Linked DNA regions of Tribolium castaneum. The protein of the gene in region 1 purifies or fractionates together with the protein of each later gene. This does not show direct contact. Links are inferred from orthologs where the notes say so. Each region holds a gene or a part of one and is shown in the gene's direction. Other genes may lie near its edges. The genes, in order: Rpp30 and Pop4.

Evidence for each region.
Region 2: the proteins of Rpp30 (region 1) and Pop4 purify together in Homo sapiens (affinity purification with mass spectrometry; 4 studies listed by BioGRID and IntAct, counting the BioPlex papers as one, with this or other methods). This does not show direct contact. The link is inferred for Tribolium castaneum from reciprocal best matches to the Homo sapiens genes RPP30 and POP4.

Annotation. Positions count from the first base shown.
Region 1 is NC_087398.1:7,285,457-7,289,417, reverse strand, and holds Rpp30 (ribonuclease P protein subunit p30), read left to right. Parts: upstream 1-1,660; 5' UTR 1,661-1,759; coding exon 1,760-1,856; intron 1,857-1,911; coding exon 1,912-2,048; intron 2,049-2,095; coding exon 2,096-2,167; intron 2,168-2,214; coding exon 2,215-2,283; intron 2,284-2,327; coding exon 2,328-2,602; intron 2,603-2,988; coding exon 2,989-3,068; intron 3,069-3,115; coding exon 3,116-3,264; 3' UTR 3,265-3,316; downstream 3,317-3,961. Other genes in the region: uncharacterized protein LOC103313092, read right to left, coding at 1-169, 215-570; uncharacterized protein LOC658939, read right to left, coding at 726-895, 943-1,203, 1,254-1,551. UniProt on the Homo sapiens protein: Component of ribonuclease P, a ribonucleoprotein complex that generates mature tRNA molecules by cleaving their 5'-ends. Also a component of the MRP ribonuclease complex, which cleaves pre-rRNA sequences.
Region 2 is NC_087401.1:15,382,537-15,386,088, forward strand, and holds Pop4 (ribonuclease P protein subunit p29), read left to right. Parts: upstream 1-1,623; 5' UTR 1,624-2,102; coding exon 2,103-2,109; intron 2,110-2,161; coding exon 2,162-2,683; intron 2,684-2,731; coding exon 2,732-2,868; 3' UTR 2,869-2,869; downstream 2,870-3,552. Other genes in the region: uncharacterized protein F58A4.6, read right to left, coding at 2,870-3,251, 3,295-3,500. UniProt on the Homo sapiens protein: Component of ribonuclease P, a ribonucleoprotein complex that generates mature tRNA molecules by cleaving their 5'-ends.

The DNA of each region.
Region 1 (3,961 bases):
TACTATGTTTATGTGGAGTAACATTTGCGGCAATGATTGTAAAAAAGCTTGGAAAAAGAAATACAATTCGATGGAGCGTGGTGCTGTGACTGTTTCTATTGCTTCGGAAATGTATTTTTCATCATCTGAACGCATTCCTTCAATTGACCAGAAAATTCGTTCGGCGTATCTAGAATTATTTAATTCATATTCTTATCTCAAATATTTTTTTTACCTCCAGACAGCCCAGATTGGGAATAATAAATGTTCCAAAGTTTTAATCAACCACCACAAGAAATTATCACACCCACAGCCTTCCATTTCGGGCCACAATTCCCATGATGATGTTAGCACAATGTATGAACAAAGTGAGGGAAAATAAATAATAAATAAAGTGACGGAGGCCCATATGGGATCATTATCCTTGTAGTGTCTGAACACCACAGCACAGTCACTTGCAAACAAAAAAACATACAGTAGGAAAGAACAAACTGAAGGAATGAAATAATTTATTATAACGTCCTGTCTTGGCGTGAGTTCGTAATTTAGAAACGTTTTCCTTAAGTGAACCTTTCCTTTGTTAACACTCATTTTTAGAAAAATTCAGGTTTCTGACATGATGAGTCAAATTTTATCACACACTGAGATAATAAACCATTTCCAGCGTTATCAGTATTGATAAACATGAGTCAATTTTCATATATTGTATTTTACACTATTTTACTATAACTTAACAGATTAGTGTATTATCTGGCAGGATGTAAGTCTTCCAAGTAAACCGAATGTTTTTCCAACATTTCCGCTACAGGATCTTGTTTATTACATTCCGGGTCATATTTCGCTCCCAGGGCCCATAAGGAATCTAAATCATATACAGTCCTAGCTTCGCGCGAAAATATGTGAAGGGCTATATTTCCTACAATTTCAGATAGTAAACAATTGAAAACAAAAAACAAAAATTACCTAAATCTAAAGCTAACCAATCCTTTGAATTTTCGCCTTCAAGCTTAGGGATAAGATCAGTTTTGTGCATTTTTTTCTTATAAATCATCCTAACAAACTGAGCAATTGCCTTCATATGTTTGTGTGACTTTCCAGTAACAACGCAAATGTACTCAACATACTGAATTTCTTTAGGCACCGCAGCCACAAAAATGTCTTCAGCATTTTCAGAGTGAAGCACTTCGATCAAGTCTTCAATATTATAAACACCATTGACACCTCCTTCAAAGAGACAATGTACAAAATGTTTCAAACACTAGTGATTGTAATACTCTCTAAATTAAGGCCCACAAAAGGGTCAGGTTCCTCCTCTTCAATCGCATTCACCGGATTTGCGTATTTACTCCGGTCCTCGTAAATATCGAGTATGACTTCGGAGTCTTCATCTCGAAAAATCTGGTATTTTGAGCTCATTTCGCCAAGAGGTGTCTTTGTTGTACTTTGGGATGTGTCTGGGGGTTGGGTTTTTGTACTTTTGCCAGATTTCAGTCTCCGCTGGACACAGTTTTGTAATAAATAGAGACACTGATTTTGCGGCCGCGTTTTGCTTAAAAGTCGTGTCACAAACATGGTTTTTATTAAATTAAAATAAACAAATTTAGATTTTGAACATAACCTTTCAAATTGACGTGCGTCAAAAAAACAGAGACAGATAGATTAGTTTTTAAAAATTTAGACAGAGAAGGATGACTTTTGACAGATTGTGGTAAACATGTGCTAGTGCTAGGTTAGGGATTGTTTAAAAATTTATTTTTATAAAAAAGTAGTATTACGGAACATGAAGTTGGAAGTCAGAGGTTTTTTTGATTACGGTGTCTCTGAGCATTGTTTGGACAACAACAAATATGAATCGACCATTAAATTGTTGTACGATTGTGAGTTGCAAACAATTTTATTAACAGCAAATTTCTGAGAGAAAATGTATTTCAGTCGGTTACAGGACAATAGCAATAAACCAAACAATCGATGCAAATGAATTAGAGCAGAAAAAGAAGAAGAAAAAAGGTGAACTTAGAGAAGGCCCCTCAGATTTTGTACCAGAACCCTACAAAATAACTCCACTTGAAGTAATATTTTTACCGAGATTTTGTTTAAATTAATATCAATATTGCAGGGTTACGAAGACTTAACTATTCTAAACCGCTTAACAATAATTTTTTCCAATCAAGACGTGATGCATAAAATTGTAAGTTACCCTGATAAGGTTATAAATTTGTTACATTATTATTTTAGACAAAGTCTTCACACTACAAAAAATATCACATAATCGCGGTTTTACCTGAAACGGTTCAAGCAAATGCGGTAAGATTTTCAACAAACAAAAACGGTTTAACACTTTTTTGTAGTTTGTTTGTAGCAGCTTTGAAGCAGACATATTATGCTTTCGTCCAGAGAATAAAAACCACATTAAACGTTCAAGAAAAATGTACAAGCAGCTAATAGACAGGGGCTATCATTTTGAAATACCTTACGCGCCTGCTATTGAAGACGCCGCTTTAAGGAGAAACATTATACACATGGCACATCTATATCACATTTTTATCAAGTCAAGAAATGTTATCGTGTCGAGCTTAGCCGAAAGACCTTCTTTGCTTAGGGGGCCTTATGATATCATTAATTTGTAGGTATTCTTAATTATTGGATCAAATATTTTTTAATTAGTAAATTCGCAAATACAGTTAAAGTGCGTTCGTTTAATTATGTAATTTTTCTGGTCTGACTAATGGTGGGAAAAGATGTATTTTTTGGCAGGAAGTTATAAATTATTTATGTACTTAAAAAAATTATTTAAATTGGCATTTCTACAGTTTTGAAACAGTTAATAATCAATTTTAATTTTAAGTCATTGTCACTGCAGGGGTGAAAGTTCTACAAACTAAAAAATTTGCATCGCTATCAACCTAATAATTTCTTAACGGTGCTGAGGGAGACAACTTTGTAGTAATTTTAATAAATGCAAAGCTATAAATAGGAGTAATAATACGAAATGTTTTTTTATTTTTGTAGAGGTTTAATATTTGGATTAAATGAAGAACAAGCAAAAAATTCCATAACAACTTGTGGTCGCAAAGTTTTTATCAATTCAGGTAAATTAGATACGTTTGTAGTTACAAAATAATTATTAATGTTTTAGTTGGTCGAAAACATGGTAAGGCTGTTATGTTTGCTGAAAATGTGGAAAAAGAAGAGAGTTCAAACGATTGTGAAATAATAGACTGTGTTGACGAAAGTGAAGAAGACATGGAAATTGATCAACCAGCATTAAAAAAAGTTAAACAATAAGTTTTTATTGTGTTTTTTAATTGTGTTATCAATAAAATAATTGGAGTTAAAATTGTCTTTTTTTATTATTAACAATAAAATTATGCTGCTAGAAGAGAATGTATAAATAGGTGCTGATCTAATTAGTTTTTAATTGCAGTTCTCATATTTAAATAATAAATATTCTAATTAACAGGTCTGATAAATCAATACGAGTTTTGTTGCAAAGAAAGTTTGATTGTCGCTTATGCAATCCATTGCCGGGTCTTGTAATAATCGGATATGGAGTAATTACACGTGTGTGTGCAAAATTGGCAATTTATTGATTGAAGGAGTGAGAAATTTCGAGTTTGAATTGGAACCGGAAGTGGTGTGCGGTGTAGTGGTGCGTAATTTCAAACTTGGCGCTTTGAAAGGTGGCAGCACCGTCGATCACAAGCGTAATGATAAAATGGAGTATTCATTTATACGTGCAGTTTATACACAAAATTTAATTAAGTGAATTCATGTATATAATCGTTGATAAGTGTAACTAATAAGTAAAATATCTCAAATACAAATGTGGTTATCAACGTAGCATAGTTTAACACTGCGGATAGGTAGTGGAAAGTGCATTTTTCGTCGGTGTCAAAAAGGGATAGAGTTGAACGGAACAGAGGCCGACGGTGTCCATGGTAAGTTTCCGCAAACGTCGGATTTTCGTAAATCAGTGCATGCG
Region 2 (3,552 bases), on another chromosome or scaffold:
CGATTTTTTTTAATTTTTTTTATTTTCTCAATTACGACTAAACTATTCCAAAAAGTGAAACTATTTTGATTCACACCTATGCAAAATGATCCGGGGAATCGATTGGCATCGAGAAAATTGCCAAATTCCCAATAGTTTTTTAATTATGAATTTTTTAAAATTTTACCTATTTTTGCTTTTATTTGCAATTTTCTCGAAAACTATTAGTCGGAGAACAATGATCTTTTTTGAAAAAGATAGATAATTAAAATAGCTTTCCAACGCTAATACACTTCATGGGGTTATCTCGAATAGTTCCGGAGTTATTGCTCGATAAATGTCCGGAGACCCGGAATCGACCAAAATCGCGACAAAAATTGGAAAAATCAAACATAAAAAATTGAACATATGGACGTTTTTTGGACTTTTAACAACTCTAGAGGGTTGTAAAGGCATATATAAGTCCGAAAAACTATGATAGAACGAGTTTTAAAAAAATTTAATTTTTTCACTTTCGTGAAGGTAAGTGTGTTACTCAGGAAATTTTAGCAAAAAAATCAAAATTTTAAATCTCGTGAAAAGTTGGTATAATACAGAAAATGAGCCGCTGAATTCAATGGAACAAACCGCATTGCTCTACGACCTTTAGTTTTTTAGTTATGAATTTTTTTTGTGTTAACTTTTTTTTATTTTTATTTTTTTCTCAATTACGGCTAAACTATTCCAAAAAGTGGAACTATTTTGATCCATACCTATGCAAAATGATCCGGGGAATCGATTGGCATCGAGAAAATTCCCAAATTCCGAATATTTTTTTAGTTATGAATTTTTTAAAATTTTACTAATTTTTGCTTTTATTTGCAATTTGCTCGAAAACTATTAGTCGGAGAACTATAATCTTTTTTGAAAAAAATAGATAATTGAAAGAGCTTTCCAACGATAATACACTTCATGGTGTTATCTCTAATAGTTCCGGAGCTATTGCTCGATAAATGTTCCGGGCGCCGAAAATTGACCAAAATCGCAACAAAAATTGGAAAAATCAAACATCAAAAAATCGATCAAATGGACTTTTTGTGCACTTTTAACAACTTTAGTGGGTTGTTAAGACATATAGAAGTTCATAAAAATTTGCTGGAGTGAGTTAAAAAAAAATTTTTCACTTTTATGAAGGTATATATTTGCCTTGACCAACGAAATTTTAAGCAAAAAAAATCTCAAATACTACTAATCGCACAAAAATCAGGATTTTGCTCTTAAATCATTTATATTTTTTCAATGCCTGTGATATTTTTCCGAATTTTAATTAGGAAAGGGTAGAAAAAATTTGAAAAAATTCACAAGCGACTAAAGCTTCGATCAAAAAAATTATTGATGGCTTTGGCCATAAATAGCACTGATTTCAAATAAGGTGTAGAGTGAGTGGATGTTTGAACATTTCATTATTATGCCAGATTGCTTCTCCAGTTCCTTAATTACTAATTAGTCCCAAAAATCGAATCAAACAAGGAACTTTCCGCCTGACTTCCTTTGACCTGAAAGTAGCCGACCTTTCAGACCCCGACAATAGCTAACTCTATTACCTATGCTGTTAAACAAACTGGAAACTTTTTTTATTATACTTTATCGCAACGAATCTCGACTATAACGTAACATGAAGAGACAGTTGAAGTGACATTTTGAAAATTAATCTTAGACGTGACTTGTACTTTCCTGTGCAATAGTTCAATTCGTAATGTAATGTAATAATAAAAGATGCGTCTCGTCAAAAGAAAGTTATAAATGGAAATACGTAACCCACAAAAACGCACAATTGGCGGTTCGTTCCCAGACATATCTCATCCTTTCATAATTCACTTAAAGCGGAGACAGCGGCAATTCACACGAAAAAAGAGACGCGTCTGCCAGATTTGAGAGAAAATTAACGAATTTCACATTTCGAATAATTCCGAATCAACCGCCAATTAACGAAATTAACCCAACTTTGTCAACACCGCACTTTAATAAAAATTCCGACCTTTGACACCCGAATAACAATAAAAAAAGAGAAAGTTACGGCGCTTTTACTCAAATTTAAACTTCGCGCCACTTGTGATTGACATCAGTTAACCTCGTTTTTTCCAATGGCCGGTAAATCGCTTAAAACCAGCATTTAAACGTTTTATTGCTGTTTTTCCCCCAGATTTATACACGAGCTTGCCCGACCAGTACCTCAAAAACGCCCCCGAGATCGGGGACCCCACCACCTACATCCAAAAACTGCTCCTGAAGGAACTCCCTAGAAGCGACTCCCAACAGCTACGCCACGACCTGAAATGGCAATTCCTCCTCGACAAACACCAAAGTTCGCAAAAGCGAAAAAAACCGATCCGGAAAAAGAAGACTTTTCTCACTCGAAGGGAGCGAAAAGACCTTAACATTTTAAAATTGCCAAAGTCAGACTGGGATTACAATTCACTTGAAGGGATCAGGAAAATGTGGCGTCAATACATGAGACAGAACCTGGAATTGGCCGGGCGTGCGCCCCACTGTAGTGAGCAAGACTGGGCCAACTTTTCGGCAGTTTTGGCCAAATCTGAGCTAATCGGGAGCGAGATCAAGGTGGCGCGGTCCAAGTGCCCCAGTCACGTGGGCCTGACTGGGACCGTTGTCTTGGAAACGAAAATGACGTTCCAGATCGTCACACAACAATCACAATTGAAAAGTATTTCAAGCAATAATTTTAAATCGTCTCTAAATCGCTTGATTTCAGTTATTCCAAAAAACACGTCCGTGTTCGAGTTCGTCTTGGACGCCATGAAGTTCACAGTTTTCGGCAAACACATAATGACGAAGCCCAGCGAGCGCAGCGTTAAAAAAATCAAGTCGGTGATGTTACCAGATTTGTGATTTATTTTTTGCGCTTACGCCCCAAGCTATGCTCATATTGTAATTTCGACCAAATGCCTTTACACATCTTTACAAGTCGTTCGTCCACAACAAGTGCATTTTTCGCGGTTGTGAACTCCTGATAAATTATGTTCCTGGCCAGTTTGAAGCGTTTTTGTTGAATTAAACTTAGACTAAAGTAGAGGCGACATCTGGCGGCCACAGTCGGGTCACCTAACCTCAAAGCTAGCTTCAATTGATTCACGGAGATTTTCCCGGCGATTTGGGCACAATTCGCGAAGTAGTCACCAAGGGCTGAAAAAGCCCCCCCGAGGGTGGACAACCACGACATGGCGTGGTCCAGCTCGCACCGCTCGCGCACCATTTCCACCACTCGTTCGTTCCTGAAAAAGTGTTAGCCCCCAATTTTGACACTAATTGACTCACCATTGGTAGTCAATTAGGTTGTAACGTGTCTCCAGGAGAATAAAGCTAAAGTTGCGGCTGTTTTGCGATTTTATGAAGCAAATCCGGTAGAAGCGACTTAACCTCAACTCCTTCAGCAAGTAGTGGTAGAACACGCAGTCGATTCGGAGCACACAAGGGGGGCCTTTAGTGCCGTTTTTGCCTAGTCTTAACCCGACTTGCATCATTTTTTTTGTAAATTCATCGTAATAAACTGGTGACACTTTAGGTTATGTTGTT